Linked DNA regions of Styela clava. The protein of the gene in region 1 binds, or shares a complex with, the protein of each later gene. Links are inferred from orthologs where the notes say so. Each region holds a gene or a part of one and is shown in the gene's direction. Other genes may lie near its edges.

Evidence for each region.
Region 2: the proteins of phenylalanine--tRNA ligase beta subunit-like (region 1) and phenylalanine--tRNA ligase alpha subunit-like are in contact, whole or in part, in a crystal structure (PDB 3L4G), measured with the Homo sapiens proteins. The link is inferred for Styela clava from reciprocal best matches to the Homo sapiens genes FARSB and FARSA. Residues at the interface, in NP_005678.3 of Homo sapiens: Glu26, Phe29, Gly32, Leu33, Pro68, Ala69, Asn70, Ile150, Arg152, Asp259, Thr261, Lys262, Arg305, Lys316, Lys317, Val318, Gly319, Ile359, His360, Cys362, Asp363, Glu366, Ala369, Ile370, Tyr374, Asn375, Ile377, Gln378, Met379, Thr380; in NP_004452.1 of Homo sapiens: Ser221, Gly222, His223, Leu224, His225, Leu227, Leu228, Arg231, Ser232, Arg235, Leu239, Gly242, Phe243, Thr244, Glu245, Pro247, Asp249, Asn250, Phe251, Ile252, Glu253, Ser254, Phe263, Gln266, Gln267, Phe277, Phe278, Leu279, Arg280, Asp281.

What each region holds. Positions count from the first base shown.
Region 1 is NC_135256.1:5,856,440-5,872,880, forward strand, and holds phenylalanine--tRNA ligase beta subunit-like, read left to right. Parts: upstream 1-9,635; 5' UTR 9,636-9,829; coding exon 9,830-11,605; 3' UTR 11,606-11,876; downstream 11,877-16,441. Other genes in the region: uncharacterized protein LOC120327812, read right to left, coding at 401-726, 1,212-2,718; phosphoserine phosphatase-like, read right to left, coding at 5,141-5,821; putative leucine--tRNA ligase, mitochondrial, read right to left, coding at 13,464-16,184.
Region 2 is NC_135250.1:4,203,262-4,218,886, reverse strand, and holds phenylalanine--tRNA ligase alpha subunit-like, read left to right. Parts: upstream 1-7,502; 5' UTR 7,503-7,579; coding exon 7,580-9,067; 3' UTR 9,068-9,751; downstream 9,752-15,625. Other genes in the region: 26S proteasome non-ATPase regulatory subunit 12-like, read right to left, coding at 1,041-1,175, 2,092-2,247, 2,939-3,043, 3,635-3,742, 4,658-4,786, 5,139-5,198, 6,484-6,573; p21-activated protein kinase-interacting protein 1-like, read right to left, coding at 14,134-14,880, 15,483-15,625.

The sequences.
Region 1 (16,441 bases):
GGTTAGAAATCATTAGATAGATTATTACATAACAATACTAAATATTGTCATATATTAATCTATCTAATTGATTCTAACCAATGGACCATATCGTGCAACAGGAACAGGTTAGCTTAGCTTGTTTCTTATAATTATACAAAAGCCATAGACACACTTTGTCTAAACTGTTTGAAAATTAATTTTTCAAGCAAATGCGCAAAGTAATATGTATGTTGTACTAGTTTTAATTCTACAGACATTTCGTATACATTTTTGTCTCATCCGTAGTTCAATAAATTGGCTGATCTATGCTTAAAAGCGAAGGTTTTAGGTTTTTCCAAATATAGTAGATTTTCAAGTACAAATGCCTACTTGTCTAATCCCCAGTTAAAGAGTGAGAACATCACTGAAAAAAATATACCTTAACGCTGGAATTCTCTAATCTGTTGGCAAAATCACAAAGACTCTCTTCTGTGAGGTTGCATTGCCATAAAATGAGTTGCTTGAGATAAGAACAATCCAACAAAGATGAAGCAAGAGCATGCAAGTCAGCTGTCATTAACGGCATGTAAGAAAGATTGACTGAATTCCATACAGAAGGAACAATATCTTTTCTGCCTGTTCCAGCTTCATGTATTGCACGAATCAACTCGAGTCGGCCATTTTTGCTCAGTTGTTCAAAATGTTCAACTTCAGCAGCCATGCTCTCCACCAAAATATCTTTGTGAGATTGTACTTCGCAATGCTCTGGAATTTCAAACAAAAATGTTTACTTGCTATATCATTAACTATATCTTTCTATTTTTATACTCTAACTGTGAGTTCTGTATTATTCACTAATGTGGTTGTTTTTGTAGAGAAATTAAAAATAATCTATTCTGATCATCTATTTTTCATTCCACACTAATGTCTTCTTATTCTAGTGGTTGAATATATAACCAAAATATTGTGGGCACAATATAGCCCACTAGTGTTGAAGTATACGAACCATCTATGTTAGCATCACAGATTGAAAATCTAGGTTACAAATTCCCTGCATATCACTAAGATTGCAAAAATTTGGGTATGTATTGACAAATCAAGAAATTTCCAATCTTTACAAAATATAATTGCTATAATACCAGTGGTAGCTTTCACAGAGGTATGGTCAGGGTAAGAAGTGCGTGAAAATGTGGCATAAGAATAAATTTTTGTGTTTACATAGATGTAATGCAATAAATGTATTAACTCACCCTCAAGAAGTTGTTCTAAGGTGTCTGAAACCAAAGGGTCCAGAAATACACCATTCAGCATTCTTCTGATAACTGAGAACTCAGGCGTATGTAAATACTTTGAGATAAACTCTGAAAAATCCTTTTCAGATTTCTGTCCAATGAACAGTGCTGTCAGCACCTCCTGAATAATCTGGTGAGCAAACATGGCTTCTATATCACGTTCCAATATCTGCTGATATTGCTCTTCCTTGTTTAGACTTCCAGGAACAACAATAGCAAGATCTGTTACTTCGTTCGGGGTTAATTTAACTTCAGTCAGATCTACCTCGCTGAAAATAACCTTTCCTTTCATGGTTCCTTTGAAAGCCAATTCTTTCATCTTATTGACAGCATGGACTACATATTCAATGTCATGTTCCCCAAATGCTCGAGCATGCTTAGAATGCAAAAGATATTGTAAGAGGTTTATCATAATACCAGTTCCTGTGTTTGGGACAAAAGAAGATTCGTATTCCTTCTCAGCTAGTACAACCATGGCAAATGTAAGAAACATTGGAATTTCACAAAGGGCCATCAAATCTGGACATTTTTTATCAAGAATTTCCCAGGCTCTTTCGGCGTCATATTCCTTCAGGAATCCAAATACTAAATTTTGAATCGATTCACGGCTAAGACCTCCAAGAGAAATGATTCTATCAGGACGCAATTTTCCACCATAATTTCTCACTTTGTACTCCCTCGAAGAAGACAGAATTTTTGATTTTTTGAGGATATGACCAATAAAAATGTTGTAGAGAATGATTGATGGACAAGCATGATCCCAAGGTTCAATCAATTCAGTTTCATCATCCAACTCATAACCGAGTGTATCCAGTGAATCGATTATTAAGACAACCTTTTCAGAATTTTCAAGTACCCATTTGTATCCGATTCTACTTTCATCATCTGAAAGTGGACTATGCATATATCGGAACAAATATTCTCGCACCGTAATTTTCTCATCTTTTTTAAAACTTCGACATCTGACAATATGTATAAATCGATCTCCATCCTGTATATATGAAATTTCACCATTTAGCGCATCACGACCAAACCGCTTTAAGGCCGTTGTTTTCCCTGATCCTGCTGGACCTAATATCATCACATGACGGAGTAAATTTTCAAAATCGACTTTCTCCGAATCTTTATACTCACTGAGTTTTGAAAGAAAAATTTCCCCCAAGTTACTCAATCTTTCAGCATTCAGAGTATGAAAATTTCTTTCTTGAGTTTCTCTTGAAAATTCTTGCAATGGTTTATAATCATTAGCTTCTTTAGCAAAATATTCTCCTTGGTAAAATGAAGCAACATTGATTTCAAATAAACGAGGGAGTTCTTCTTTCACAGGTTCGTTCAAACTTTCTTGGAAGTCGAGCGAGACTTGCTTTTGATGTGCATGAACGTTTTTTCTTACTTTGTCAAAAAACCCATGCAGTATTTCATCAATCTGATGCCCTTTAACATCAACATCACCACGCCCCGACATATCGATTTAATGATAGATATCCTACACTCTACAAATCCATGCAAATATTAATTTAAATAACAGACATACAAATCAGTTGAACTGAATTTATGACTATGAGATAGCTAAGAAGCAACAGTTATTGCCCTTGAATATTGATCATCTTTGCTGAAATGAGTTGTGGAACATACAAAGCATATAGCACTATATATAGTTCTCAAGTTTTGGACTATCTTCGATTATTATGACTTGACACATTTTTCTAATTACCGTTGAACCTTTCATTCGATCTTCGAAAATATCACAAACTCTCACTGCAGTGCTCCGCTCCTGAGCTCAGTTGTCATTTTGAAATATTCAAAGCATAAAACTTTTTTCCCCAAAAAGGTGGATAACTGTTTTTAAACTAATTTGCTGGAATTAGATTTATCAGTCTTTTCCCTATTCATCATATACACAGAAATTTACAATAGTGCTTGTTATGTAGATGAGCATTTGGCAAAACATTCTACTGAGTATATCCTATTAGATATATAATAAAAGCTCCAAAACAGCTCTTTGAGCGGTTGTATACGACTCTTCTAAAAAATACTTGCTCCAGTTTTGGTTGAGAGTTCTATACCACGACAAAAATAAATTTGAGCAAGAGTAAAGTTTCATGCCCTGATGGTTCGCAAGTACAAGTCATGAACCGTTCTACTTTTATTCTCTCTCAAAGTTTCAAGCAGATACCTCAATTATAACGACCAGTGATCAATGAATTCAAATGAAGCGAAGTCAATCATTACAGAGAAAAGAATTTTATTCTGAAATCACAATATGGTTTAATAATTAACAACACTGAAATGATGCAATATGAAAGAGAGAAACCCTTTTATGAGAATAAAAAATGATGTTATAGGCGGACAGGTGGAATATTGACTATTATCAAAATTAATTTTCTTTGAAGAGAATTCACTCTTTCAAATTTTGAATTGTTATCTTCCTTAAAATAAATAAGCATTGTCTACTCTAGAGTGACTGTTGAAAGTGAATACACAAAAATACAAAGGCACACAGACTCATAAAAGCAAAATGTCTTTGTGTGTAAATGTAATAAAAACAACTATAGTGCTATTGACAATAGTATTGTATTGCCCAAGACATCATTGTAATACCAAGCCAAGGTAAATTACATTGAGTTAAACAAGTATGAAAAGAACTGTAGCGCCATCGACAATATTACATTCGTGTCAATATTGAATGTAGTGTTGACGACACAATAAAAAAAATTGCGCAATATATTGCCAATTCTACATTGATATCATATCCATGAGTGAATGCTCAAAACACATTTCCACCACCTCACTCAGGGTGTAGCAAATTTGGTATTATGCCAAACCACAAAGTTTCTAGTTCTTTCAAAGTTTTTAAGCTTTTGAATACTGAAAAGGATGGTTGTAAAATGTTTTTTTACATATGCCTTCTAAAACAATGTTGAAATAGCCATATCAACTATACCCAAACAAAAATGGCCACTCCCTCGTTTCATGTGCGACCGATTTTAGCAATTTAAACTACCCCAGAAAAATATAATTAAGACAATGAATTTGTACTGTAAACACAACAAAGGAGATAAATTTTCCATATTTATCTGCATTGATAAAGACCTGCTGTCGTCTGTTTTGTAAAACCAATAGAGGTAACTTGAATATAAGACACTCACACACTGTATGTATATATATATATATGATTTTAATACCGAACAAATTCAAGTAAAAATAAATTACCTATATTGGGCTTAAAATGAGAAAGCAGTTCGTAAATAAAACAATACCTGGGCTTTTGAATAGAGAAAAGGGATGGTCGTGAAACGTTTTCACATATGCCCTCTAAAACAAAGTTAAAATAGCTATGTTGACTATAAAAATTGTTACTCCCCCCATTTGAGGTGCGACAGATTTTAGCAATTTAAAATTAACCCATAAAAATATAGATAATGATAATATACTCATTTTGGCTATCCAACTGTTTAAAACCGGTGTTTCAATATATATACGCCAGGACATCAACGTTACACCAGATTATGACAAATTAGAATTGCTTTAAATCAGCCCATTATCACAAGCGGAAGCAGCAAAATTTTTGAACACTATTTATCCTATAAAAATATAACTGCTACTGCATTGGTGAATATCTTATGGAAGATTGAGATAACTTGGTCTTATAAAGAAAAAGCAGATACCACCATTTTTAGATTCCTCTTTTCCTTCCAAGTTAGGTTGAAGTCTATCTGTCTATTCGTATAGAAATGGACTTGGTCCCATATTTCCGTGGAAGTCAAGACCACAGTTTTTATACATTTTGTTATCGCATCAGCACTAAACTGTCGAGCGTAGGTTGAGCGTGACTGCCCATAAGGGTTAGAAGTTATTTAATATCACCCGATCACCATAAAAGTATTTCAATCCTTCAATTCATCTAAAATCTCTTGGAATGAATACACAAACCAATTTGCTTTTTCTTTCACAACTTCTCTTACGACATTGGCACCAAAACCAATAAAAGCGTCTGCTGGTGGACAAGCTTCTAGGTCGGTTGCTCCATCACCAATCATAACAATCTTTTTATAGCCATGCTTTTTACGTAATTCTTCAATTGCTTTAGCTTTTCCTCCTGATCTACAAGTTGGTAAACTTTCGTCAGCGCCGACACATTGTCCAGTGTAATAATACAAGAACTTGTTAGCAAGTATGTCTTCTCTTGGAATTCCAATCATTTTTGCGGTGGGGTTTATAATTTCCGTGAATCCTCCCGATATGAGAAAAATGTAGCATCCACGCTCTCGAAGTTTATCGATGAGTTCCTTTGCTCCGGGCGTGGCAATTGGTGTTCTTTGTTGTAAAAATGTTTTCAATCTTATATAAGTGGGATTTATTATTTTTATTCTTTCTCTTAGAGCTTCTTGAAAAGTCATAGAACCGCCCATTGCTTTGTTAGTAAGTTCTTTAACTTCATCGCCAACACCATGAAATTTTGCAAATTCATCTATGCCCTCATCGGGACATAATGTACTGTCTACATCAAGGCAAACAGCATCTGCATTTCTTAATACTTCTATTATTTGCTCTTTTGTGAGATCCATGATAATATGAATCGCAACTTTACTGTTTAAAATAAACAAAAGATTTATTATTTTATTTTGTCAACCAATATGAAAACAGTCTACAAAAAAATTACTGCTCATGTTACAGTTGCGTATGTATAAAAGATTCACATGCAAAACTGTTCAAATAAAATGGATGGATATACAAGAATTTTTTAATTGAGTCATTTAAATTCACTATATATTAAATGTATTTTAACGTTTTATTTGACTTTCTGGCCGTACAGGCAGACTTTAAAAATAAGAAGAAATAGGGTCTGCCATTCTTTGTGTTAGGGCTGTAAAATGCAATTCTTATAATAAGCTAATTTGATGTCTCAATGACTCCTATACAAGGGAGTTGAATGAGACCTGGGGTTGATTAGAGATATATTCTACTCTTTCATCTTTTAAGATGAGATAAATAAAAATGGAAACTTTTTGAGAGCGAGCAAAACATTTAATGAAGTTTAAAATATGAAAAATGTCATGCGCCCACTCACCAACAGTCGACAACAGCCAGAAAGAAGGAATTTATCCCAGGAAGAAGAGAGCCAATAAGACGTCGTATTATATGACAAACCACAACCAGCGCTTACGTAAACCACCCTACGGCAACGATGAGTCCAGCAATTCTAAAGCAAAAAATGTTTTTATCCAGTCATTGGTGCACAATCAAATATTGAATACTCGAAAATCACAACACAATATCAGTGAATTGGAAAAAGTTTAAACAAACATGTTTACATGCGGTACCACCTACAGGCACGCCGATATCTGAACATGTCTTACACATAATCCGTCAGTGCGCACAGTGAGACAGTGCGATAACTCAATGAACTGATTCAGTCTAACAAGCTTGCACGTGCTGGTACTTCTTTTTAAGACAATGTTACGAGTACCGGTACCTATCTGATTGTCAGAATCTGTATTAACTAAGCGCCGCAGGCTCCAAACCTGATACACCACCTGATAAAACCGGGCAAGCTACCGGTATCGTCCTATTCCACCCGCCCTTTACCAAAAGTTCCAACCAATTTTGTGAAAGGGAAATTCCATAGGATTCCCGCTGACACGTGTGCCCGGGTATTCCCCGTTGTTCTCGATTCATCTTGAGAAGTTGGGAAGCGCGGACACTGAACAGACTGGGGTAGCTTCTTGGGACCTATTTCTAAATTTAAAATATAAATCTTATCTAAGAAGCCCATAATCACAAGTTCACCGAATAATGATTTACGAGCAACAACTGAAATTGCGACTGTACATGCTACTAAAAGCGTATGCGGGTACAGGAATAATCTTGGTATTATAGTAATATTTTACTATGTTTCTCAAATTAAAAATATATTAAAAAGTCAAACCAGTTAATTTGGACTTTCTTAGAAATATAAATCTCTTGCTTTTTTCACTGGACATAATTGAGTCAGATAGCCCCAAGCCATTTCAGCACAGCTAACCAGCTTTAATAAATTTTATCCCAATTCCATGCGTTGGTTATTTTTTTTTTAGTATATATTTGTCCTGTTCTTTACTTAGGTATATTATCGTATTGTACCGTGATCGTAAGTTGGGAGCTGACAAATAAAGACATTGTCTCGTTAAAGTATCTGCCAAAGACGTGGGGGATTGGGCAGTCGATGTGCTGCTGTTGCTACTCGTCGTTAACAAAAACCAACAAGTCAATATATACTTTCTTACACCTAAACTTCCACGTTGGCAAAATTCATCAGTGAAATACTTGTAATGAAACACAAAATCTTATGAAGATATTAGGTCAAGTTCTTAGATGAAATTTCAGAATTTTTTTCAATCAATCAATCGGGCCGGTTTCTCCATGACTATCATTTCAGTACCGCAAATGACTGATTCATCCATTAATCGAGATTTGAGAAGGTATTCAAATCAAAATATAAAAGTAGTATAAAATATACTGGAACCGACATATTATTGTGCTATAGCCTAGCCTAAAAACATTAAACCGAGAATTAATCCCGTTGTTTAAAAAGCTTTGTTAGTATGAATTCTCGGAAAGGCAATACGAACCCGTCCGACACACGCTTAATTTTATTGTTTCGGGTTACTATGGCATTAGTTTTTAAAAAGTATTGACAAAATCACCGGAATATTTTAATTGTAAGTAATTGCATTGTAAGTCCAAAGGAATTGTTAGGTCTGCAATAAAGGTAATAAAAGTTATCAAATCAAAAAGTTTCCAGGACATGCAATACTTGGAAATGCATAAATTTCATTTTAGGTCAAAAATTTGGGGACAAAATACTGACGTTTTGAAGGTATACAGTACTATGTCTATGTAGCTATAAAAGTTTTTTGCACAAAGTAAATAGGTACTTAATTTAGCGTCCCAAAATCACGAATATTAAAGACAAGACCAAGACATTACAATTTTGCAATCACATTATGTTAAGTTAACCGAGTTTCTTGCAATTTATTTCATTTTGAAAACATACATAAATTATGTGTTTTGGCGATGGTTACCATTAAATATGAATTATTACAAATTACCGAGTCTGTGTTCAATTTTAATTTTTCTTGCAGGGGTTCGTCACTTAACAATCTTTCATATGGTAATGTGATTACCACAAAACATCATGAATTGTCAGTAATAGTATTTATTCAGTGAAATCACTTGATCTCGCTTGTCATAAGTTCAAACGCCCGAATTTGAGCAGAGATTAGATTTAGTGTTCAGAATTATACGTGCGCTTGTGAGAGGTGGCAAGTGTAAATATTGAAGTCTTCATTATCATTGTAGATCTCGAATTTCCTTCTGGGTTGTGTTTTTTCTGATGGTCACGTATTTCTAAATTTGTTTTTTTGTGATGTTTTTCTGGTGTGTTGTGTGCCAAAATTAATCATGTTAGCGCGGTATGCCTAAGACAGGCTTTGGAAAATTACGGCCCGCGGGCCGGATGCGGCACGACGAAGTGTTTCAGGCAGCCTAATTGTCTATGCTGAAATTACTATAGTTATTATGGATACAAATTTCCGCTGAAAATAACGACCCTGATTGTAACATTGCGCTTTCTATTATATTATAAACGTTAGCCTAGCTATGGATCTTTCTCCGACCTTTGAACCCCAAAATATTTTTTTTTATACTTTACCATTGAAATATCTTCGGGGCTATTTTAAGAGTGTTTTTGCGAGTTGGCGCCTGTAAAATGGGGTATCAAACCATCATTATGATTCATCGCATTCAACAATCTGTTTTTTAAAAGTACCGGTAGAGAATTTTAGCCTAGTCTATTACAGCTATTTCTACATAAATTTTTTATTACTGCAATTAAATTGAAACTCCTAGGGAGACAGAGTGATCATTAAATTATCCGATTTATACCTAAGTTTCCGAAACACAACAGAAAACTAACGAATAGAGTTCAAAAACGCAAAAATGAGGTAATGTTTACGACCACGCCTGAAAATCTGTCAGAGTGAGAAAAGTGTCTGAGCGGATGCGAAAAGGGAGCTTTATTACGTCACTTTTTGCATCTTGCTGATTGGCCAATGTCACGAAGTAAACAAGGAAATCGATGCTCGGGGAAAGGTCCATTCTACTAACTAGATGTTGTGAATAAACCGTTTTTTATTCATAGTTTCTCATATTGAGTTTTGAGACTCCGGCCACTAACCAGGTCTATTTTTTTGTAGCTGGCCAACTTAGAAAAGTAATTGCCCACCCGTGGCCTAAAAGATGATGCAACTTTGGGAAATGTGATATTGTGGCACCATTCAATTACTATTGACATGCCACCAATTAAAAAATAAATAGCGGTTAGCCCTGTAAATTAATTTATTATATCTAACATTTTTAAATTTTGTTTATAAAGAACGACGTTTTATAAAGGAATCAAAATATATTCAAAAATGGATATGCCACTGGTATGACTCCGGTTCCTCCCATTTTTATAAACTCCACAAGCGTTCCACATCTACATTACATGCTGATTCTGACTTGCGAGTGTTTTAGGCGTTAATTAATGTTCGGAAATGCCGACTATAAGTGTGAATCGGGATTTGTTGCATGAATGGCTTGGAAAAAAATATTCGGAAGAAGAATTTGATGAACTATGTTTCGAATATGGTCTCGAACTTGATGAAGTTACGTCCGTGAAGGAGCAGATACAAAAAGAGCAAGGGGACGCAAAGGCAGAAGGTGCCTCAGATGACATTATATATAAAATTGATGTCCCCGCTAACAGGTACGACCTGTTGTGCATGGAAGGCCTTGTTAGAGGTCTCAAAGTGTTTTTAAAACAGATTGAACCCCCTCGTTATGTGTGCTCCTCTCCTCCTGATTTGATAAAAATGAACCAATCACATGCCACACTGGAAGTTCGAGCAGAAGTAGTAGCAGCTGTTTTACGAAACATTTCTTTTACACAAGAACGATATGAAAGTTTCATTGACTTGCAGGACAAACTTCACCAAAATATTGGCAGAAAGCGTAGCCTTGTTTCCATCGGCACTCATGACTTGGACACAATACAAGGTCCGTTTTTATACGATGCTAGAAAGCCAACAGATATAAAATTCAAAGCTCTCGGCCAAACAAAAGAGTACACTGCTGTTGAGTTGATGGAATTGTACTCTAAGGAGAGTCATTTGAAGTCATATTTGCCGATTATTCGTGACAAACCTGTTTATCCAATAATTTACGATAGTAATGGAGTCGTACTTTCGATGCCCCCAATCATAAACGGTGAACATTCAAAAATCACTTTGAACACCAAAAATATATTTATTGAAATCACAGCGACAGATTTGACAAAGGCAAAAATAACTCTGGATACGATTGTAGCAATGTACTCGGAATATTGCGATAAACCATTTATAATTGAACCCGTTGAAATAACAAGACCGGATGGAAAGAAACTCATCACACCGGAATTGAAATATCGAAAAGAAACTGTTTCTGCTGAATATATCAATAATAAAATCGGCATCAAACAAAGTGCAGAACAGCATGCTGATTCACTAACAAGAATGTGTTTGAAATCTAAGGTTTTACCAGAAAATGGCAAAATTGAAGTTGAAATTCCCCCGACAAGATCCGACATCATGCACGCTTGTGATATTATGGAAGACTGTGCTGTAGCATATGGATTCAACAACATTGCCTTCACCTTTCCTAAATCTGTTACTATTGGAGCTCAGTTTAAACTAAACAAGCTGACAGATTTATTGAGAATCGATATGGCTGCAGCTGGATTCACAGAAGGTTTGTCTTTTGCTTTGTGCTCGAAAGACGATGTAGGAAGAAAATTACGGGATGGCGTTAAAGATATCCATCCTGTTCACATCAGCAACCCAAAAACATTGGAATTTCAAGTCACACGAACCTCTCTTCTACCTGGATTACTAAAAACTGCTGCTTCTAACAGAAACATGCCACTCCCGATGAAACTCTTCGAGATACAAGATATTATTTTCAAGGATAGCACTGCAGATACAGGATCAAGGAACAGAAGACACCTGGCTGCTATTTACTACAACAAAACCCCTGGATTTGAAGTAATCCATGGCCTACTTGATCGAATCATGCAATTATTGGATATAAAACCATCAGATGACTTAGGACCAGATAAATACAAGATCCAGGCTGCTGAGAACTCTGCCTTCTTCCCAGGACGGTGTGCTGATGTTATGATAAATGGAAAATTTGTAGGAAAGATGGGAGTTCTACACCCAGAAGTTATCACCAATTTTGAACTTGTTTATCCAGCATCAGCATTAGATCTTGATTTGCAATATTTTTTGACATAATTTATTTATTGTAATTAATGTGGTGATGTCATATATTTAAGTGTTTGTAGCTGCTCTCATGCAGAGTTCTGGAAAATTATTGAGCGAAGATGGTCGACGCTGTTTTAAAAATCCTATAATGTATTAATTGTTCCTCAAAAATGTTAAATGCGGTTTATCTCAGGCCCTGTCCATTGAGCCGATCACAAACAATCCTATCCTTTTCTGAAAATGTGTACCTAAACATTTTGTTAAATTTTCGCTACGGAATACAGAATTGCAATTATGTGTATTAGTATGATTCATTTAGAGCAGTGGTTCCCAACCTTTTTTGGTTCGCGACCCCCTACCTCACTTTCTATACCTATACTAAAATAAGCGGCAAAGTGAATATTGTGTAATATAAATTTTCATCAAGCTGTGATAAATGGCATTGGAACCGCGTAGCCAACTGCATAATTCGTGCTTGAGTTTTTGACAAAGCTAATCTCATATCATCCTCGACTTTTGTCCGATTCTGTGCCGTCGTTTCGATACAAAGAAGAGCTGAAAAGCTGCTTTCATATTTTTCATAACTTCATTTTCATATTGTTGCTTCTTCGCCATGGTAAATAAAATACCGGAATTATAACGTTACCGCAGGATGTATGATAATCTCCACAAAGAAACAACATAGACTACAAGCCTACCCCGCAGTAAATACCCCTTTGTATCAAAATCCTGGTGTTCTACAGCATTTCTTCGAAGCCCGCATGTTTACCACATTGCGGCGCGGAAATGCAGACGTGTTCGTGTGACATCACAATGGTTAAGATACCATAAACATCTTGCGCCGCTTGGTTTTCTGGGGTCTCACAACAGGTAGTGGAAATCTAGGGTCATTCCAGACTTCTTCGCGTTCTATTGACAATATTTAATCTAAAGCTTTGTATTATTTTTTACTGATTTGCCTTCACAAACCCGTTGCAACCCCCAGGTTGGGAACCACTGATTTAGAGGAAGTTTTACCACTAATGCATAAAGCAGAACTTTGTGAAGAGAAGAGGGTGGCTGCAGCCAGGGCTGTAGCCAGGAATTTACACGCGTGGTGGTTGTAAAATCCCTAACTGCCAAGTTAACAAAAAAAAAGACTCTGACGATGTGGGTTTTCAAGAGTCTTTGAGTGTCTTAAAGCAGCTGATATGTATGTTGAAAAAAACATTTTTTTCACATTTCAAAAAGAGGTCCGACCCTCAACCATGGATGTAGCTTCAAATACGTTGTTCATTAATATCAGTTTTGAGTGCCTGTTGACTGGACACTGTAATATTGCTGCATAACTTACAGCCGCCTGTCCACTCAGCCGAACATAAACACTCCCAAACCTTTCTGGAAAAAATCTGAAATGTATACATCCTAATAATGTTCTATCATTTTACTGTTTTGAGGAATACAACAATAAATCAATTTCCAAGGAGAATTCCATTTCCAAGGAATGAACTGTGCTGTCTTTGGAATTTATGTAGCAGTTTATAGATAATTGGGGATTGCCTCGATAATATTTACCGGTACTATTCGCTGGAGATTATCTGAAATAAAGTGGGATTTAGTCATGGGATACATGTGAAAATTTGAAACTATGGGTATACACCAATACCTCCCTGTAAATTCAAACCATAAATTCCACAATTTTTTTAGAAGCATATATTATTTTTGGTTCCATTACATTTGAACCCACGTACATTTGAACCCATGGCAATTGCACCTGTATGCTATTGCACCTATGTATTTTTTTTTGCTAACCCTACCTAACCCATGGGTTTTAGCACCCGCATATAGATTGAACCCGTGGATATACGCATGGGTTCAAATGTACATGGGTTCAAATGTACGGTCACCATTATTTTTCAGTGGTAGTAGATATATGAATAACAAAATTTTTCTTGTCAAATTGGAAATTTTCAATTTGATTCCCTTTCAAACGCCTTTTCACCTTTTTATGTCGCAGTATAGAGGACTTAACCTCAGTTAGACCGCAATCTATGTCTTCAGGAAGTCTGATAGAATGGCAAGTTTCTTCATTTACTTTGATTTTATATTCAATAAGCTGGAATTTGTTACTTGTGTCTGGTTGGGGCCAGTTTTGGCTCAAAACATCACTTTCCCATTTATGATTTGTAAGCTTATAGGGCATAAGTTGCATCCCTGACCACAGTTCTGATGCAAAATGAGGTACCATTGGCGCTGACATTATAATAAGAGCACACACCGCTTTCTCAAACTCCGGACTGGTTTGAACAATATCCTCTGGGACATTGAATAGTAATTTTGCAAGTGTCATTAGACAAGTGATAGCAGCACTGAGTACACAGTCTTTTTTATAGTGGTTTGTTATATCATTGATTGCTTTATTGGTATCTCGAACAATATTTTCAATTTCATGGAGAAGCTGTATAGGAGGATTACCCGAATTAACCTCGTTTTCTGGAATTTTATTCCTAGCATCGAGTAGCTTTGTAACACAAGTCCATAGCTTCAACTGCCATCTCATAACACCAGGTATGACATCTGTTTTTACATCCCAATGAATGTCTTCGAATGGTGCAGCAGCATACAACACATATAGCCTTGTTATACTGTAGCCCCACTCATTAACAAAGTCCTCAGGATCTACTCCATTGAGTTTAGATTTACTCATTTTTTGAAACGAGACTTCAACTGGCTCGTTGGTTTCTCTTAGGACAGGAACGTCTCTGGACTTATCAACTTCTGATACATGAATATATTTCCCGGTTGATTTAACTTGATGTGTTTGTCCTTTAATGATACCTTGAGCCAGAATTTTTTTAAATGGTTCTCTATGTGAATGCAGATTTTGATCCACAAGGAACTGATTAAAAAATCTGGCATAATATAGATGGAGTGTTGCATGCTCTTTCCCTCCAATATATAGATCGACGGGCATCATTTTATCAGCTATGTCTTTAGAAAATGGCAATTTTGTGTTGTGTGGGTCAGTATATCTTAAAAAATACCATGAGGAGTCAACAAAAGTATCCATAGTATCAGTTTCTCGATGCGATTGAGCCCCACACTTTGGGCATGTTGTATTCACCCATGATTGTACAGATGCCAAAGGGGAAACACCGGTATTCATTGATAAATCTTCTATATGAGGAAGTTTAACTGGGAGGTCTTTGGAAGGAACAGGGACCGGTCCATGCACAGGACAATGAATAATCGGTATTGGAGTTCCCCAATATCTTTGACGAGATATCAACCAATCACATAGCTTGCTACTCGTCATTTTACCACTATTAATTCCAAGTTGTTTACATTGTTCTAATATTTTAAGCCTCGCTTCATTTTGAGAAAGACCGGTAAAATCCTTTGAATTTAACAATAACCCATTGCTACTGACAACATTATTATATTCAAAATTAAATTTGTCAGCAATATTTTTTGCAATCTCATCGATGTCTGGAATACATAATATTGCGGTTGGCCTATCATGTTTTGACAGATAGTCATCACTTAAAATAACTTTCAATTTAGCGTCATTAAATGGGTTTTTAACAAAACAGTTACTAAGCACGATAGGATCATCTGGGAATGACATACTCAGTAATTTGGTCTTCATATTTTCCGCGCCATACCTTCCAAGTTGATGAGCAAGTTCGTTTTTATATTTAAATTGCAAAACAACATGCGAAGCACCAAATACTGCTTCAGGGTTCGTACAAAACACTGGAAAGGAGATGGGTCTCTCAATACCATCTACTATTAAAGAAAAGTTCATGTAACATCCATTGACTTTCCCAATCCAATTTCTCTGCATGGATTTAATCCCAACATCTTCATCAATTTCATCTAAAGTGTCAAGTAGGGATTCTGCATATTCTGATGTTTTAAAAAACCATTGTTTCAGATATTTTTGCTCTACAACTGCTCCAGACCTCCAAGAACAACCATTTTCATCAACTTGCTCATCTGCTAATACAGTTTGATCAATAGGATCCCAATTCACAAGAGCATCCTTTTGATAGGCTAATCCAGACTCAAATAACTTTGTAAATATATACTGTGTCCATTTATAGTAATCAGACTCGCATGTTGAAAACTCACGTTCCCAATCAAAAGTCAAGTTCAAATCTTTAAGTTGTTGCTTCATATATGATATATTACTTTTTGTCCATTCTGTAGGGTCGAGTTTCCTATCTCTTGCTGCATTTTCTGCAGGAAGACCAAAAGCATCCCAACCCATTGGGTGCATTACTTTATATCCATTCATACGATAAAAGTTTGCAAAGGTATCACTTATTGTGTAAACTCTTACATGTCCCATATGTAATCTCCCTGATGGATAAGGGAACATCGAAAGGCAATAAAATTTGGGTTTCCCATCATCAGCAGATACTGTCCTGCTTTCCCAATTTTCTTTCAATTTTTTATTCCAATATTTTTCAAGATCAATTCTTGTTACTTTTTTATATTTTCGTTCCCAAGATTTTGTTTCGTTGGTGATATGTCTAACAAAAATATTGAGAAAATTTGATCTGCTGAGTTGTCTATATTTAGTAACGAAATTCCTCAATACTGTCATAATGTGTCTATCAGATTTCTGTAATAATAATGGGAAGATTATATGCCTATTGAATTTCAAAAGCAAACACATGCCGGGTCTCGTGTAGTTTCGTACCTAACATACTTCTAGTGGGCATAGCACAACAATTTTTTCACCTGTCAATCCTAACCTCCACCTGACTACGCCATCCAAAAATTACGTCACTACGACGTCACAGTGACGTAATTATAGCCCTTCAAACTATACGAACTGCCATCCAAGACGCGCAGACGAGCACCCGAAATCAAACAGCT
Region 2 (15,625 bases), on another chromosome or scaffold:
ATAGAAAAATGCTAATATATCAGTGATAAAAATTGATAAAACCAGCCTTGATCGAATCTAACAATAACTAAACTCTTTTAATGTACCGTCAGTTGGGTAATCAGGACTGCGATCGCTGATATTCAAATTGTTAATTTCCAGGCTGGTGTGGTCATTTTCAAAACCCCTAATCTTGGACAATAGAAAAAATTTTTTTGACCCATTGATTGAAAAAGGTTCGCCATCCCTGGTTTACAATATCACATGAATCTCAAGCAAGGAGTTTTTGCATTCAAATTCAAACCAGCCATTGCTTATGGCAGGGCTACTCAACTGGCGGACCGCGGTCCAAAATCGGACCTTTCGGGTATTCGATTCAGACTGCGCACAAATCCTTATTTTGGATCATTAGCCCCACTTTTGAAGGTTCCTTTTATGAAATCACTTTTATAGATTTAAAATATATATGAAAAGGACTATAACGCCATACCAAACAATCTTATCATTAGTCGGCCGAGGAATTGCGTGTTTAAGGATGCCGAAATATAATTCCTGGAAAGGATGGACCTAAATATTTTTGAAGTTTTGTATGCAGACCTTCGGTAAAAATAGTTGGGTAGCCCTGGCTTACAGCATCCCAATAAGCCTCAATGGTGGAGCCAAACCATATGTCAATCGGGACCATCTATTCACCACTATTCCTGCTAATTGCAAGACAACCTTTACATGCAAAAGTTTGCCAAGATTCCCGTTCCATTTGCTTACCCTGACCCTTTTCGGTGCTCCCGAAGTATGCGAACCAAGATGGCGGACATCGAAACGTAACATGGGTAACAGGTTAGGGTTAGGCGATAATTTTTTTCCAATTTTCCTTATTTTAGTCCTATTATCAGTTCTAAGACTAGCCAAGAGCCTCCCGTAGTATTTATACCTAAAATTATGGCCTAACCCTAACCTAGTACACATATTACATTCCGATGTCCGCCCTCTTGGTTCGCATACTTCGGGAGCCCCCCCTTTCCAATATCAAATAAACCATTAAAAAAATGAAGCAAATATACCTGTTGACATTTCATCGGATCATTCTGAATGAGCGGTGTATCGTAAACAGCTTTAAAATGCTTGCAAGTTGATAAATAGGAATTCTCTGACAAGTCCAGTTCTATCATCATTTCGTAGTATCGTAGTTTCAGTTTCTAAAAAAAGGACGAAATTTATTAAACTAGTAGATTGTCTAGTGCAGGTGTGGGCCTCGTGCCAAAACTAAGTTTAATCACAATCTCAACAATTTCCTTGAGCTATTTTTTAGTTAAAACATCAAAATTTGGTTTTAGTTTGGTTGTGGCAGCATCAGGCAGGACAGATTGAATTACCCAACGGGCTGGATTTGGCACGCGTAGTTTATTAATGTCAGGCCTAGTGGGTAGAGTGTTACTTTACGGCAGTGTTTCCCAAACTTTTTAGGCCGCAGACCCGTTTGCAAATCCCATTTTTTACGGACCCTCATCCAATGCAAATCAATTTATGTGCCTAACCAACGAGGATGAATTATGTTTCATCTGGATTTAGAACACAACAACACAAATGACATTAATGTGAAGAATCAATTTGTGATAAAAAAAATTCATAGGCCCGACTCTATGGCAACGATTCTATACTGTTTTACATATGTTTGGCTGAAATAGAACTTATGAAAGTCTGAATCCATACATAATTTAATTGTGTATTCTTGGATAGTCTCACACAATTAACTTGGTTTCACGCTTCTTTCTTGCCGCAACGGGGATCAGATGACCTTGGCAAACTATCTATATCAGAAGTGAGCAAGATTTTTGGACCAGCGGCCAGACCAGTTGGCCATATAAGTGTGACGTAAAATATTACATTTTATGAACAGAATGGTAAGAGTGCATGAGCTATAAACAAAAAATAACATTAAAAAGACCTTATTAGGACGCTAACAAAACTTTCAGGCAAGTCAGAATGAATCACCCAACAGGCCGGAATTGGCCAAAGTTAGATCTAAATTGACTACATGGATATCTGTGAAAGAGATGGGGGATAATATAAAAAATTTCCGGAAATATGAGCTGCAAAAACAGCGAGTCTCACTTGAATTTCTTCGTCCTCAGATTCAAAATATTTGATGCTAATTTTTTTGCTGATGATTTGAGCTCGAATGTAGTCCTTCTTTGCAAGACATAATCTCATCTGCTCAAGTATGAACTCAACTTTTTCTTTACGCTCCATACTTCCAAATGTTTCAACCTAAGATTAGGACAACGAAAGATAAAGTATTGTAGTTATTGAAAAAAAAAAATTTCACATAAAACTTTAATTAATAATATAAAGATAAAATGATAGAATACAGTGAAATAAATTGTTTCAACCAACAAATTTGATTTGTAATTTATATCACCTGAGTCATGCTTCAGGGCTAATTTAGGTAAAAAGTGAAATATTAACAAAAAGTAAATGACAGTAAAATGAATGATTTCCAACAAATGAAAGAAAAATTTATTCATAATATTGTTTCTGTCACATGAGTAGGGCCATATAAAGGATAGTTTTTAGGTCTGCCTTGAAAGAAATCAAAAATTAAAAAAGAAGATTTAAAAGAAATGCCCTTATTTTGACTCTTTTTTATCAATGGCATACACAGCCTACTAAAAAGAAATGAACCTTCATTCCCATTTACCATGTGTTTTAAACCAGGAATCATCAAACTGCGTCCCTGGTCGTCGTAGGGGTCATGGCAAAGTGCTCGTGTAATTTGTTCCTCTCTTTTAATTGTAATGAATATTTTTTTCGGGGGAATAAGCTCATCTCAAATTAATATTAAATAACACATTTATAAAGTGTGTGATAAAGGCACCGATAAATTGATAATATTTAAATGTATTTAAATTGAAAACATCACTATAAAGTTCTGGATTTGAAATATCAGCAATTATCTTACTTGTAATTCCTGCAGTATACTTGCAGCTTCAGCAATTTCACCTCGATCTTCTTTGATTTTTGCTAAAATTCTTGTCAATCTTGCTCTTTCAATTTCAACGTAAATCTAAGAATTGAAAAATAAGGTTTCAAAAAACAGCCAGCTTGACTGTTGGAGCGTCTCTCTAAGCATTGTAAACACATTTGCCATTGATTACACTGCGAAAGTTCAAACAAAATAAAAAAAGAACGAAGAGTTCATTACTTCAGATATGAATGCACAGCCAATTTCACTTAATCAAATGAATCAGTTTGTTAGCTACTAAAAACTTGTGGAAAACTAATTGATGAATATTCATTTTAGACAAGTTAACATTTACAATACTTTGCTACCCAAATAAAAAGACACAGCTAATTTTTTATTTCGCTAAGTTTTTATTCTGTTATCTTTGGTTACAATAGGTAAGTTTAAAGGTAGGATGACGACCTAACTCAACTCAATATAAACAGATTTAAAGAGGTGATTTTATTTTTACCCAAGTTAACTCCTTTTATTTTGTTAAGGCCAAATTGCTTGAAGTGAATATCCTAGGAACAAAACTACTAGTGGCTCTATGAGAGTAAAAATTGTCACTGTTAGAAATTTCTTATAATAAGCTAAACCAAATACTTCTCGTAATACTTCAATAGTAATAAAAAAGTATTCAAAATCTGTTACCTTTCCTTCAGTTACTGTTCTCAATGTATCAATCAATTTTAATTTAGTTTCCATATCAGGTGTTTGATCAACATATTTATAGCATTCTTGAACCATCTTTGCAACTGCCTGAAAAACGAATGTAAATTTTAACAAGGGGCGACATGTTTACATAATGAAATACATAGACATATGCAATGAATTACTATTTATTAGAACTTGAATAAGAAGGAAAACTAGAATATCGGTTAGAAACCGAAGACTTATCAATCGAAGGTTAGGGGTTCCCCAAAAACAGTGGTCTTACTCCATAGTGACACTGTGTGTCCCATCACTAATTATTTAATAACTCGCTAATTATAAGACATAATCCATCCAAAATTAATAGGCTTCTGATCCGAGCTATGATGAATGCACATGCAAAATTTGGAGCAGATTCAACCTCGCTTTCGTGAGATATCGCGTGCATCTAACATACAGACAAACAGACATACAGACAGACAAATACCTATCAACATATTACTAACCTTAAGATCGATAAGTAATAAAAGTCATTTATGATTCAAAAATGTTCAACTAGACTTAAAAAGTTAAGGTTTAGAAACATACGTTGCCCAACTGGGAAATCCTGGAAGAATTTTGTTCTTCTTGGAGAGAAATTTAGCCTTGTATTTGCTATAGTATTTATATTTATTAGTTGTTTATTATCATTATTACTATATCTATAATACTTATTTATGTACATATAATATAAATTAATCAAAACTGTACAAATACTTGTGCATAACTATAGTAGATATTATAGAAAGTGAGGGAGGAAGTTATTTCGGACGATCATCACAAGATATTGTCATTTTTTCTTTCAATTTGATATTTTTTTAACAGCAATCATTTGAGCATATAAATAAATATATAAGTATATTAACTTGAGTGAGCTGAACCTACCCTTATAAAAGAATTTTGTCTTTTTCATTCTTTATACATAAATGTGTGCTGGTCAAAGCCTTGTCTAGAGAAAAATTTATCAAAAACATCTAAACATACTTGTTTGAGTTGGCTTCTTTTCTTCGTGATGACAATAATATTATCGTTGAGCATGTCCCATTCTTTTGCTTCAAAGCAGAGTTTCACAATGGTCACAAGAAGTTTCCCGGTCGAGATCATATCACCAGCCTTAAAAAAAAGTCGAAATTACAAAACTATTTGTTGTGTATATGATCATTTTTGGAACGCCTCAAAAAAATTGCCTCAGGATCAAAATGGAAAAGAGTCAGAAAAAAAGAGCTGCAAAATCTTAGTCAACTTCCCAGAATAATTTTCAAGTTTGAAAAATGAACTTTGTGAGGTCTGGGGAGACATAAATATCATGACACATACAGACATATTTGCATAAACATTACAGCTGTGAAGGAAAGTTCAAGAGCATTCAGAATTATCGACGGATTTCAATATATAATTTCTTTCCAGTCATATAAGAACGAAGAAAAGTTGGTTTACAGGTTTAGGCAAACGTTAACCTACTCACCAATCTTGTCTGTTTTTCTAGTGCCAATAATTTATCCACGGCATCATTGAGTTTTCCATCCTGAAATACAGAATAGTAGTCTAAATAAATATCTATCGCTAAAGTAAAAAGGCAAAAATTACTAAACCTCATTTTTCAAATAATACGGCCGAAACTAGATAATACAAAAGAAACATGCGACTACTGAAAGAATTGTTCCAAGGCAGTGGTTCTTAAACTTTTTCGAGCGCGACCCAAATCTGAGTTTTATGAATACTCGCGACCCAATCCTAAATAACGCAAAATGTGTTTTTAATGTTAGTACAGTTTGACTCAAATACAGACAACTATTTATTAGAAACAGTCCATTGACTCAGTGAGATTGATGAAACTGAAATTTCCTTTTCATTATATCTTCAATACACAGCTCTATTTTACTTAACGCAATACGCAAGTTGTCACGGGTATCGAGGCAATTGCGAGCTTAGTTTTGATAACCGTCAGTGCCAAATATCCTCGCTCGCACAAGTGCCTTGTCGCGAATTGTTGCAGAAAAGGTGTCCGCTGTCTGTCGCAAACATGACATCCTAGCTGGCCTTCGGTATCTCTCGCAATATACAACTTTTTTCCTCATCAAATGTGCACACACTGCTTCGTTCGCAGTAAATGGTGCCTCGAGAAGTCACATTTTCTCTAGATATTGAATAATCCAATGTCGAGAAGCGAGCTTTTTCATTGCGTCGTCTATTACAATTTACATTACCAAAAAGACACCCATTTTTGGTTATTTTAATCCACTACGACGACATTCCACGCGGTTAACACAACGACAAGCGACGTGCATGGTTACCGATACCATAAAAATAATACACGTGACTGGCATATCAGAATTGTGATGTAACAATGAGCTCAAGACAGTTCTCCCCGTGAATGAAATTTTATATTTCATTATTTTTAAATACCAGAGTTTAGAAGCTAAATTGAAACATTGGGAAAGCTGAAAGTTCGTCCTTCTCCTCTTAGATTGACGACCTTGTCGCGACCCATTCTTAAACCTTCCGCGACCCATGTTTGGGTCGCGACCCATACATTAAGAACCACTGTCCAAGGGGTCTGAATAGAATCAGGAAACACAAAAACACTAATGGTTTAAGATTAGATAAGATTTTACCGTTTGATATCGGTAAGGCAATCGTCTTACCTGGTGATAATTAATAAACAAAAGATGATTGGCACGAAATACAGTGGTTGTGAACATGGCTCGTAAATTATAATAAAGTAGACCTGGATAATGAAATAGCAACACAGGAATCTATTACAAAACGAAAAAATCCTAAATTCTGCTACAATGCAAAACAGTTCTCACCGCTGCAACTTGTTGGCATTCTGGAATTACCCTGTCCACCGTTGTTGAGTAATCAACTTCCATTTTCTCTAGTTTACCTTCGGACGCCATTATTTATTTCCCAAAATCGCGTTGTACAAGAGAAATTATCAATGGTATTCAAGCGCAGAACAGCAGACTACAACAAAACGCTCAACTCAGATTATGCCGAGTAATGTTATCAGTATTACTAAGCAAAAATGTCGCCACCTAGTGAAACCCTCAACAAATTGCGGATGGTGATATCGGGTTAAATTTTTATATTAACGTAAATATATAAACAAGCCTGCTTAAAATGACTAACTATATTTTAAATAGATATATTTGTTAATTTTTGAGCTATTCTTTGCCTCTCGCAAGATTGGATTTTATGTATAATTAGACCAAAACTTTCTAAATATTGTAAAATTCAACTTTGAACACAAGTATAAAAAAGTGGTAAAACGACATCTTCTGCCAATTTTTTTTAAAACTCATCAAAATAAGCAAAGTTTCGTGTTATAACCTTCGATGCACAATTCCGTTGCAACATTCACGAAAAATGAACAATCAAGCAACCGGATACGACTCCTTGCACAATGGTCACTTGCGCCCACTCGCGGAGATAAATTTGGTACATTCAAATGTTTATCCACGTTGGAGAGTAGGGTGTCCACTTCATAATTTCGAAGTGTTACATCATGCAGGCAGGCGGTAGTATTTATTGGACACACAAGTGGATCCATGCATCGTTTTATTTTTTGTTGTTGTTTTTCTCGGTATTTTTCTTCTTATCGTTATGAAAAAATGACTTTTTTTTACCAACTGGATCACCAATTGCTTTGCAATTTTCAGTGATTGAAAATTGTATTTTTCGCTAGAAGGCTATTACAGTATTATTTTTTCGTGTCCATATATTTGACTCTTCGAGCATAACTCTATAAGTCTATTGAAAGTTTATGCAGAGCCTATAGAAAGCAAATTATTGCTGGAGCTGTGCCATTCTGCCATTGGTTTAATGAAATGTCTTTTTTTTTACTAGGCTAGTCGCTAGTGCATTACAACTTATCGTAATTCATTTCAGCACTATTCAGTAAATATGACTGAGAAAGAAGTAGATATGGCAACTGAGTTATTGCAATTCTTGGAATTGAATGAACGTGTCAACTCAATTTCATACGCAAAAACCAAAAATTTGGAACATCAAAAAATTGTCGGTTTAATAAAAAGCTTACAAGTTCATGAAGGCGTGATAGACGCCTCACAGAAAACAGACAAAAATTGGGTTCTCTCAACCGAGGGTAAAAAGCTCGAATCAAGTGGAAGTTATGAGTTTAATATTTTCAAAAGAGTTCCAGCAGATGGTATTGCGCAATCTGAACTGGTGAAAGATAAAAATGATAAAATTGGCTTCAGCAAGGCGATGTCTAATAGATGGATCAAAGTGGACAAATCGGGTGGCGCACCGAAGATTTTTGTCGCTGATGGCGTAAACCCAACTGATATTGTTAGAGATAATTTATCAAGAATAAAACAAGGATCTCCCATTCCTGACAAAGATAGGGCGGAGTTGAAAAAACGTAAATTAGTGGAGGAAGTTACTATAAAGAGTTTTGATGTTACGAAAGGTGAAAAGTTCACAACGAAAATTGAGAAGGCAGCAACGGATCTCACAGCTCAAATGATACAAGATGGCTCATGGAAAACAACAACTTTTAAAGATTACAACTACTCTGCGATGGGTATCAAACCTTCAGCAGGACACTTGCATCCCCTTTTGAAAGTACGATCTGTTTATCGACAAATATTTCTTGAAATGGGGTTCACAGAAATGCCAACGAATAATTATGTAGAAAGCTCATTCTGGAATTTTGACGCCTTGTTCCAACCTCAGCAACATCCAGCTAGAGACGCTCATGACACTTTTTTCATTTCCGACCCTGCGGAGTGTGACACTTTTCCAGCTGACTATGCAGAAAAAGTTAAAAGAGTTCACTCAGAAGGTGGTTTCGGTTCGCAAGGGTATTGTTACGACTGGAAGTACTCGGAAGCGAAGAAAAATTTACTTCGTACTCACACTACAGCTGTGAGCGCCAGGATGCTGTATAAACTTGCTAAAGAAGGATTTAAACCCAGTAAATACTTCTCAATAGATAGAGTGTTTCGAAACGAATCTTTGGATGCAACTCATCTCGCCGAGTTCCACCAAGTGGAAGGTGTAGTTGCAGATTACAGCGTAACTCTTGGAGATCTTATGGGAGTGCTACAAGCGTTCTTTCATAAACTTGGTATTACAAAGTTACGTTTCAAGCCAGCTTACAACCCATACACTGAACCATCAATGGAAATATTCAGCTACCACGAAGGACTCAAAAAATGGGTAGAAGTTGGAAATTCTGGAATTTTCCGACCCGAAATGTTATTACCAATGGGCCTTCCGGAAGATGTTAATGTTATCGCATGGGGTTTGTCATTAGAACGTCCGACAATGATAAAATATGGTATAGATAATATCAGGGATTTGGTCGGCCATAAAATCAATTTACAAATGGTACAAGATAACCCTGTCTGTAGAATGGACTTTTGATTAAATAAACAGCTTTGTGCAATTAACTATATCATGGTATAAGACTACATCACGAGACTGAACGAATATAGGAACCTTGTTTGATAAAAGATCGTTGGAGCCTGGGATTCAGATTGCTGCTTTGCCACCATTCTACAACTTTATTAGGTGTTGCTTTTCAGGAATAGCACCCGACCTTTTTAATTTTTTTCTTCTTCTACAATGTTGTATTTCTGTTCCCATATGTTATTGTCTCTATGTTTGAAAATCATATGCCAATGTTAAAGTTTTTAAATGCTATTTAAATAGTCAACGGCTTTCATATGAATATTATTCGACTAGGTATTACGTCAGACCAAGTAAATATATAAGCTTAATTTTGGCTTACCAATTTGTCTGATGTAAACAATTATTTGAAATGCAACAAAATTCACCACTCAATAAGCAAATAGCAGACGTACGGATTTTGTGTAGATCTGATTTTGTGCATTCTATATATAAACATCTTTCAACCAAGCAAAATAAAAACAATTCCCAATTTTTCAAATCCTGAACCTCTTTGCAGCAGACAATAAAGTTATACAAATGATCATATTATGTGTATTTAAACCTGCTGCAATCATTTATTTATGAAAAAGTTTGAAACTTTGTAGAAGTCTTACTCATTGTTGTGGTGAACTAAAATAAATGTTATCAAATCTAGAACTTTGTTTTATCTTGAAGCTACATACAGTTATTTGGTCAGGATGAACCAATGCTTTGGCGTTATTGAATAGAAGAAGAATAAACAGCTGTTCACTTTACCACTGATTTCCCTATTGCCCCCCTAAAATTGAGATGGTCTTCTTAACTTACATATTCAAAGTGGCGTATATATGCCGGTGCAAATGCTCCAGTCAAATACATGTTTTATCACCAACAAAATATACACCACCCCCTCAATGTGGAAATATCCCCTAAAACCAGGGGCGGTCGCCCCCCCAATAATTTCGCAAAAAAATGTAATACATGTTGTTTCCGCCTTACAAAATTATCATTTCCGAAAAGTGCGATAGTCAAGCGCAATTAAACGGTAATAGTTACCGATATTATAAATGTTTTCTTACAATAATTTGGACCAGATCGCCTTCCGAGCACCTCACAATTTTGTGAAACATGCGCGCCCGCATGGGTAATACTCCGTCTTCAAACGCACCGCCGATCACACGCCACGGTTTTACACAACTAATTCATTTTTGTACAATTTAACATGATTTTCTCATTGTCAAAATCTTTCAATAGTGTTATTGTTGGCACTTGCGAGAGAAGTGAAAGTGGCAAACTGTGTTTCATTACAACAATTAATTATTATCGCTAAAAAATTAACTAGATCTAAAGTTGTTATAAACAATTTTCACCGCTGGACGTATCTTTTCACGTTATGGATTTCGTGCAAGGCCCAGCATAATTTGCGGGCAAAGATCAAAGCATTTACTATGTCGAAAAGTTGAAAAGTGGCAATATAAAATACTAAAAATAAAACTGTAAACAATATAAGTTTTGTTGAGGCCCGCGACAGTCTAAAAACGCTTTTCTAGGCATCGAAAATGTGCCTACGGCACAAGTTATGTTTGCTTGACCTTTAAAAACATTTCGTCACTAAAATCGAAACACGGGCAATTGTGAGCGGGATTTGCCTTTTTATCCCTTACTTTTAAATTGACGTCGAAAATTTTCTTGTTAACATTAAACAAAGCTGAGGACGCGACTTTTCCCCGGTTTGTGATGATATATAAGATAATTAAAGTATATTCGATCACTTTTTGTATTTATTTATGTATTTTTATTGTACTGAAATAACTTTTACTACGTGAGAATTGACAGAAACTTTACGGATTTTTCGAAAGGTTTTATCTTCGAAAATAATCGGAGTGACAACATTGCGATTGAGCGGAGCCAGTGTGACAAGTATGGTGGCCCATCGTTGTCACGCGTAAAATTGAAAATAAAAATAAAAAATAAAATAAAAAACCGATAATAAAAATTTTTTTGTAAAAAAACATAAAAATAATTAAAAAAAAAATTAAAAAAAAAATTAAAATTAAAACAAAATAAATAAATAGAAACGAAAAAAAAAAAAAAAAATTAAAAAAAAAAAAAATTAAAAAAAAAATTGAATAAAAAGAAAATAAAAAGGTTGACAACGATGGTCCGCCTCGTGGCCCATCGTTGTCACGCGTTTTTATTTTTAGAAAATTTGCTTCTGCTTGGGACCAACGTTGTCAGGCATAATCCTACGCGCACAAATGTGTTCCCTGGGTTTCAAACTCACTACTGATTTTCTTGAGCAATATTCAATATGAAAATGTTCTATAAATTCTCCATGCTACAAGTTCAACAAGAAGTAATATATTTATAATAATGATAAGAGAATATAGAATTGAATACGAAAATTCGGAAAATTTGTTTTTACGTGTATAAGGTAATTTAATTGGAGAATGCTGCTTAACTACTCAGTTGTCTGGACACTCGCGATGCCGGTACCGTACCGTCTTACCAAATACCGGTAGTCGGTTATAGTCGCTTTGCGTCTGACCGTACCGGTAGCCATACAATCACTCATCATCTCCCATTCTTTCACGAGTGATTGCATGGGTACCGGTACGGTCAGACGATACCGTACCGGCATCGCACGAGTGTCTGAGCAGTTAAGCAGCATTTTCCGATTAAATTACATTCTACACGTAAAAACAAATTTTCGTATCCAATTCTATATTCTCTTATCCTTATTATAAATATATTGCTTGTGGTTGAACTTGTAGCATGGAGAATTTGTAGAACATTTTCATGTTGAATTTATTGGATATTGGTCATGAAAATCAGTAGTGAGTTAGAAACCCAGGAAACACATTTGTGCGTGTAGGATTAAGTCTGAAAACGTTGGTCCCAAGCAGCATCAAATTTTCTAAAAATAAAAACGCGTGACAACGATGGGCCACGAGGCGGACCATCGTTGTCAACCTTTTTATTTTCTTTTTATCCAATTTTTTTTTCAAATTTTTTTTTTTTTTTTCAATTTTTTTTTTTAATTTTAATTTTTTTTTTAATTTTTTTGTTTGTTTTATTTTTCAATTTTTTTTTTTAATTTAAATTTTTTTTTATTTTTTTTTTTTAATTATTTTCATGTTTTTTCACAACTATTTTTTTATTTTCGCTTTTTTATTTTATTTTTTCATTTTTTTTTTAAATTTTACACGTGACAACGATGGGCCACCATAGACAAGTACATCTCAAATTTATCGAATGCGCAAAATAGCAAAAATACGGATCAAAACAATATATAAACGGGCAGTTTACCACACATTTTTATGTCCGCGGATTGCCGTCGTGTTTTAGAGTGGCTCTTGTTTTGTCGACTCAACCGCAGTTTAAGTTGAAGACAATTAAATTAATAAATCAAGACATTTTGAATATGCCCGTATCGGTCTTCGATTGATTACTTTGCACAAGTGAAAAATCAGTTTTCGTTGATAAAGTCGGCTCTTTTAACAAGTGGCGTAATCGCGGCGACCATTCCGCGTGGATTTCGAGGCGGTGAATTTGTATTTTTGATTTACTAGTATAGTTTATAATTATTTTCATTGTATGAATTAAAATTGTACTATATGGGATTTTATATCAGATATCGAGATTTTTGTAACGGCGATAACGAGTTCGGAAGATTGCAAAAATACGTATTAAAATTAAATACATCAGGCAGCTTATCTCATATTTTTATGTACACATATCGCCGTGGTACTTTAGTTTAGTAATATTTTTATTTTGACGTAAGAAGTCGCAACCGCGAGTTACGTTGCACACAAATAAATTAATATATAAGGACATTTTAGAATCTCGTGGCTGTCATGAATTGACAGAAAAATCATTATACGCTCAAATAGGCGGCTCTTTTAACGAGCGCGTAATCGCGGTGCTTGTTGCAGACGGCAATGGGAAGTTCCGACTTTGACCCCGCCTTTTTTTTTAAATCCTGGCTGCGCGCCTGAACTTGTGCCTGTTTATTTTCGTATTAAATTATAAATAAAAACCCTGCAAGTCATTGCGTGAATCCTGAATGTTATTTCGAGTTCAAATGATGATTTAATAAATCGGCAATAATGGCAATTCTACTAGTCAAATGATAACTCCTTGGTAAAATTTAGGAAAAAAATTCGCACAATAGCTTGTTACCTTGTTTTGCATTTCTAATTTTACGAAACGGCGTTAGTGCGCTTTATGCAGAACTAGGAATTGAAACAATAACCTAATACGACTCCTCAAATTTGTTATTTTCTGTTTGTTAGCAAGAGCCGTGGGCTAATTCTCGCGGAATTCAAGAAATTGGTTCAGTGACGCGCAAGTTCCGTGTCCGAGCAAAGCAGCCTAGGTAATCGATATATGAGTAGCAAAATGACATGCTAATACTTAGAGAATGACATCGACAGGTTATTGTTACGTGACGATACACGGCGCGGTGTTTTTCGGTAGGCAATCCAAGTTCGCCCCCCCCCCCCAAATTATGGAAAGTGTCCGCCCCTGCCTAAAACTTAAAAGCATGCTGATTGTTGACCTTAACTAACCATTGGGTTCTATGCATTGTTTATCAGGGGTCATGATATTATCCCAGCTATGTACAGAAACATAATTTTTCCAGTGTGAAAAATGGTCGCTCAATGTCCAACTAGTGAGAATATTATTTTTATGGTAGCAAAGTGTCACACATTGTCACCGCAGCTTGAAAAATAGCTCTATCAGTAATGAGAATTTCACTTGCACAAGCCAAACGCCATCGTACCCTATGTTTTAAAATTTTAAATCATTGAGCTACTTTTAGATCTCTGTATCGGTATTAACAATTGATTATGAAACCCTGGCCAATTCAATATTAAGCACCCTGCTATGAATCGAATAATGTACACATTGTCACTCGGTGAAAACGCGGCGTAAACTTCACATTTTCTGGCCCTACTGTATTATAGGTTGCATACCCCTGGCTTAGATGACTATAGAGAGAAACTAAGGACCATGCATGATTGATCATTTATTAAAACAACATAGGGAAACCAAAATCAAGTTTTACTTTCCCACGAAGTCAAGCAGGTAACCCTTGCTTTTGTGTCAATATCTAACACACAAGGAGGGGATTTCAGGACACTCGTGCTTTCATCCGTTAACTTTTGTTCGTCCACAGACCAGATTTTGACATGGCCATCACTGGACGCTGATGCTAGCCATATTATAGAATTATCAGTGTCGCTGTCAATCAAAAACTTTGGCGGAGTAATTCTGTGAAGACCTTTCACTCTTGACGTATGTGCTTCTATTTTTGTGACACTCTCGCCATTTTTTGTCTGATAAATGTGAATTTCGTTTCCTTCCCCCGTTACAGCTATGAGTTTATTTGAAATGAATTCGGCAGCTAAAATGGCTTTTTTCCATTCAATTTCGGCAATACAATTCGCGGATTCTAATTCATAAATTTGGAGACAATTTTTAGACGTGATCAGATAATGTTCACCCCCTGGGCTGAATTTTACGATTTCTGGTGAAAATTTTTTCATATTCTTAACATAAACTGGCCTCCCTGATATCATGTTCCAAGTGCGTAGTGTGCCATCTTTAGGGGACGCAGAAAGGGCCAATTTACCAGATGGGTGTACTGCAAATGATGTGACTGGCCCTTTGTGTCCTCGAAGACATTTCGCTTTGTCCCATTTCGCCGATACTCTCCACACATTTATTGTTCCATCATCACTCGTACTCATTAGAAATTTCTTATCTGGGAATGTAAGATAGTTGACGGTTCCTTCGTGGCCCTGAAATTTAGAAAAAGAGGTGTTTAACATTTATTCAAATTCAGTTTAACATTTCGAGATATAATTTATCATACATTAAATAAATTATATCTGTCCATACAATGCACTTCAAACAAGAAGAAGAAGACATGTTAACAGATTAAATCAGCACTGGTATACAAAAGAATTCTTTCACTTCTCGCTCATAGTTCACTTCATATGCAAACTTTTTTTTTATTTAAATATAGGTTTTCACGGAGGAATTTTGAAGAGAAAACAAGGTTGCTTAATGATACATCTGACGATTGCCTTCACCTTTAATTCGATATGGGATAAGCTAACAGTTTCGGATATTTATTCTCATCGTGCAACAAACCTCATATATATGAACAAAAGTTAAATAAATTCATCAAAAAAATGTACAATGGGCCGCGAAAAGACTATCAAAGTCAGTGATACAAAGTGAAACATTTTGGCATATCGACGTACGGTTTTATTATGGTAAGAGTAGTAATGTAACTCCTACCCAAATGCATCATCATCAAATACTCGACCCTTACACACACTAAGCCACTGCATATGAGATAAATATCAAACTCATAGATCCAGCTCAAACTAATCACCTGTATCGATCCAACTTCTTTATCATCCGTCATATCAAACAAAAATATTGCTTCGTCCGAAGATCCAGAAGCCAAATATGAAGACCCACATGCCACAGTCTTGATACAACCACTATGAGAATGATCAGTGAAAAGCAATTCTG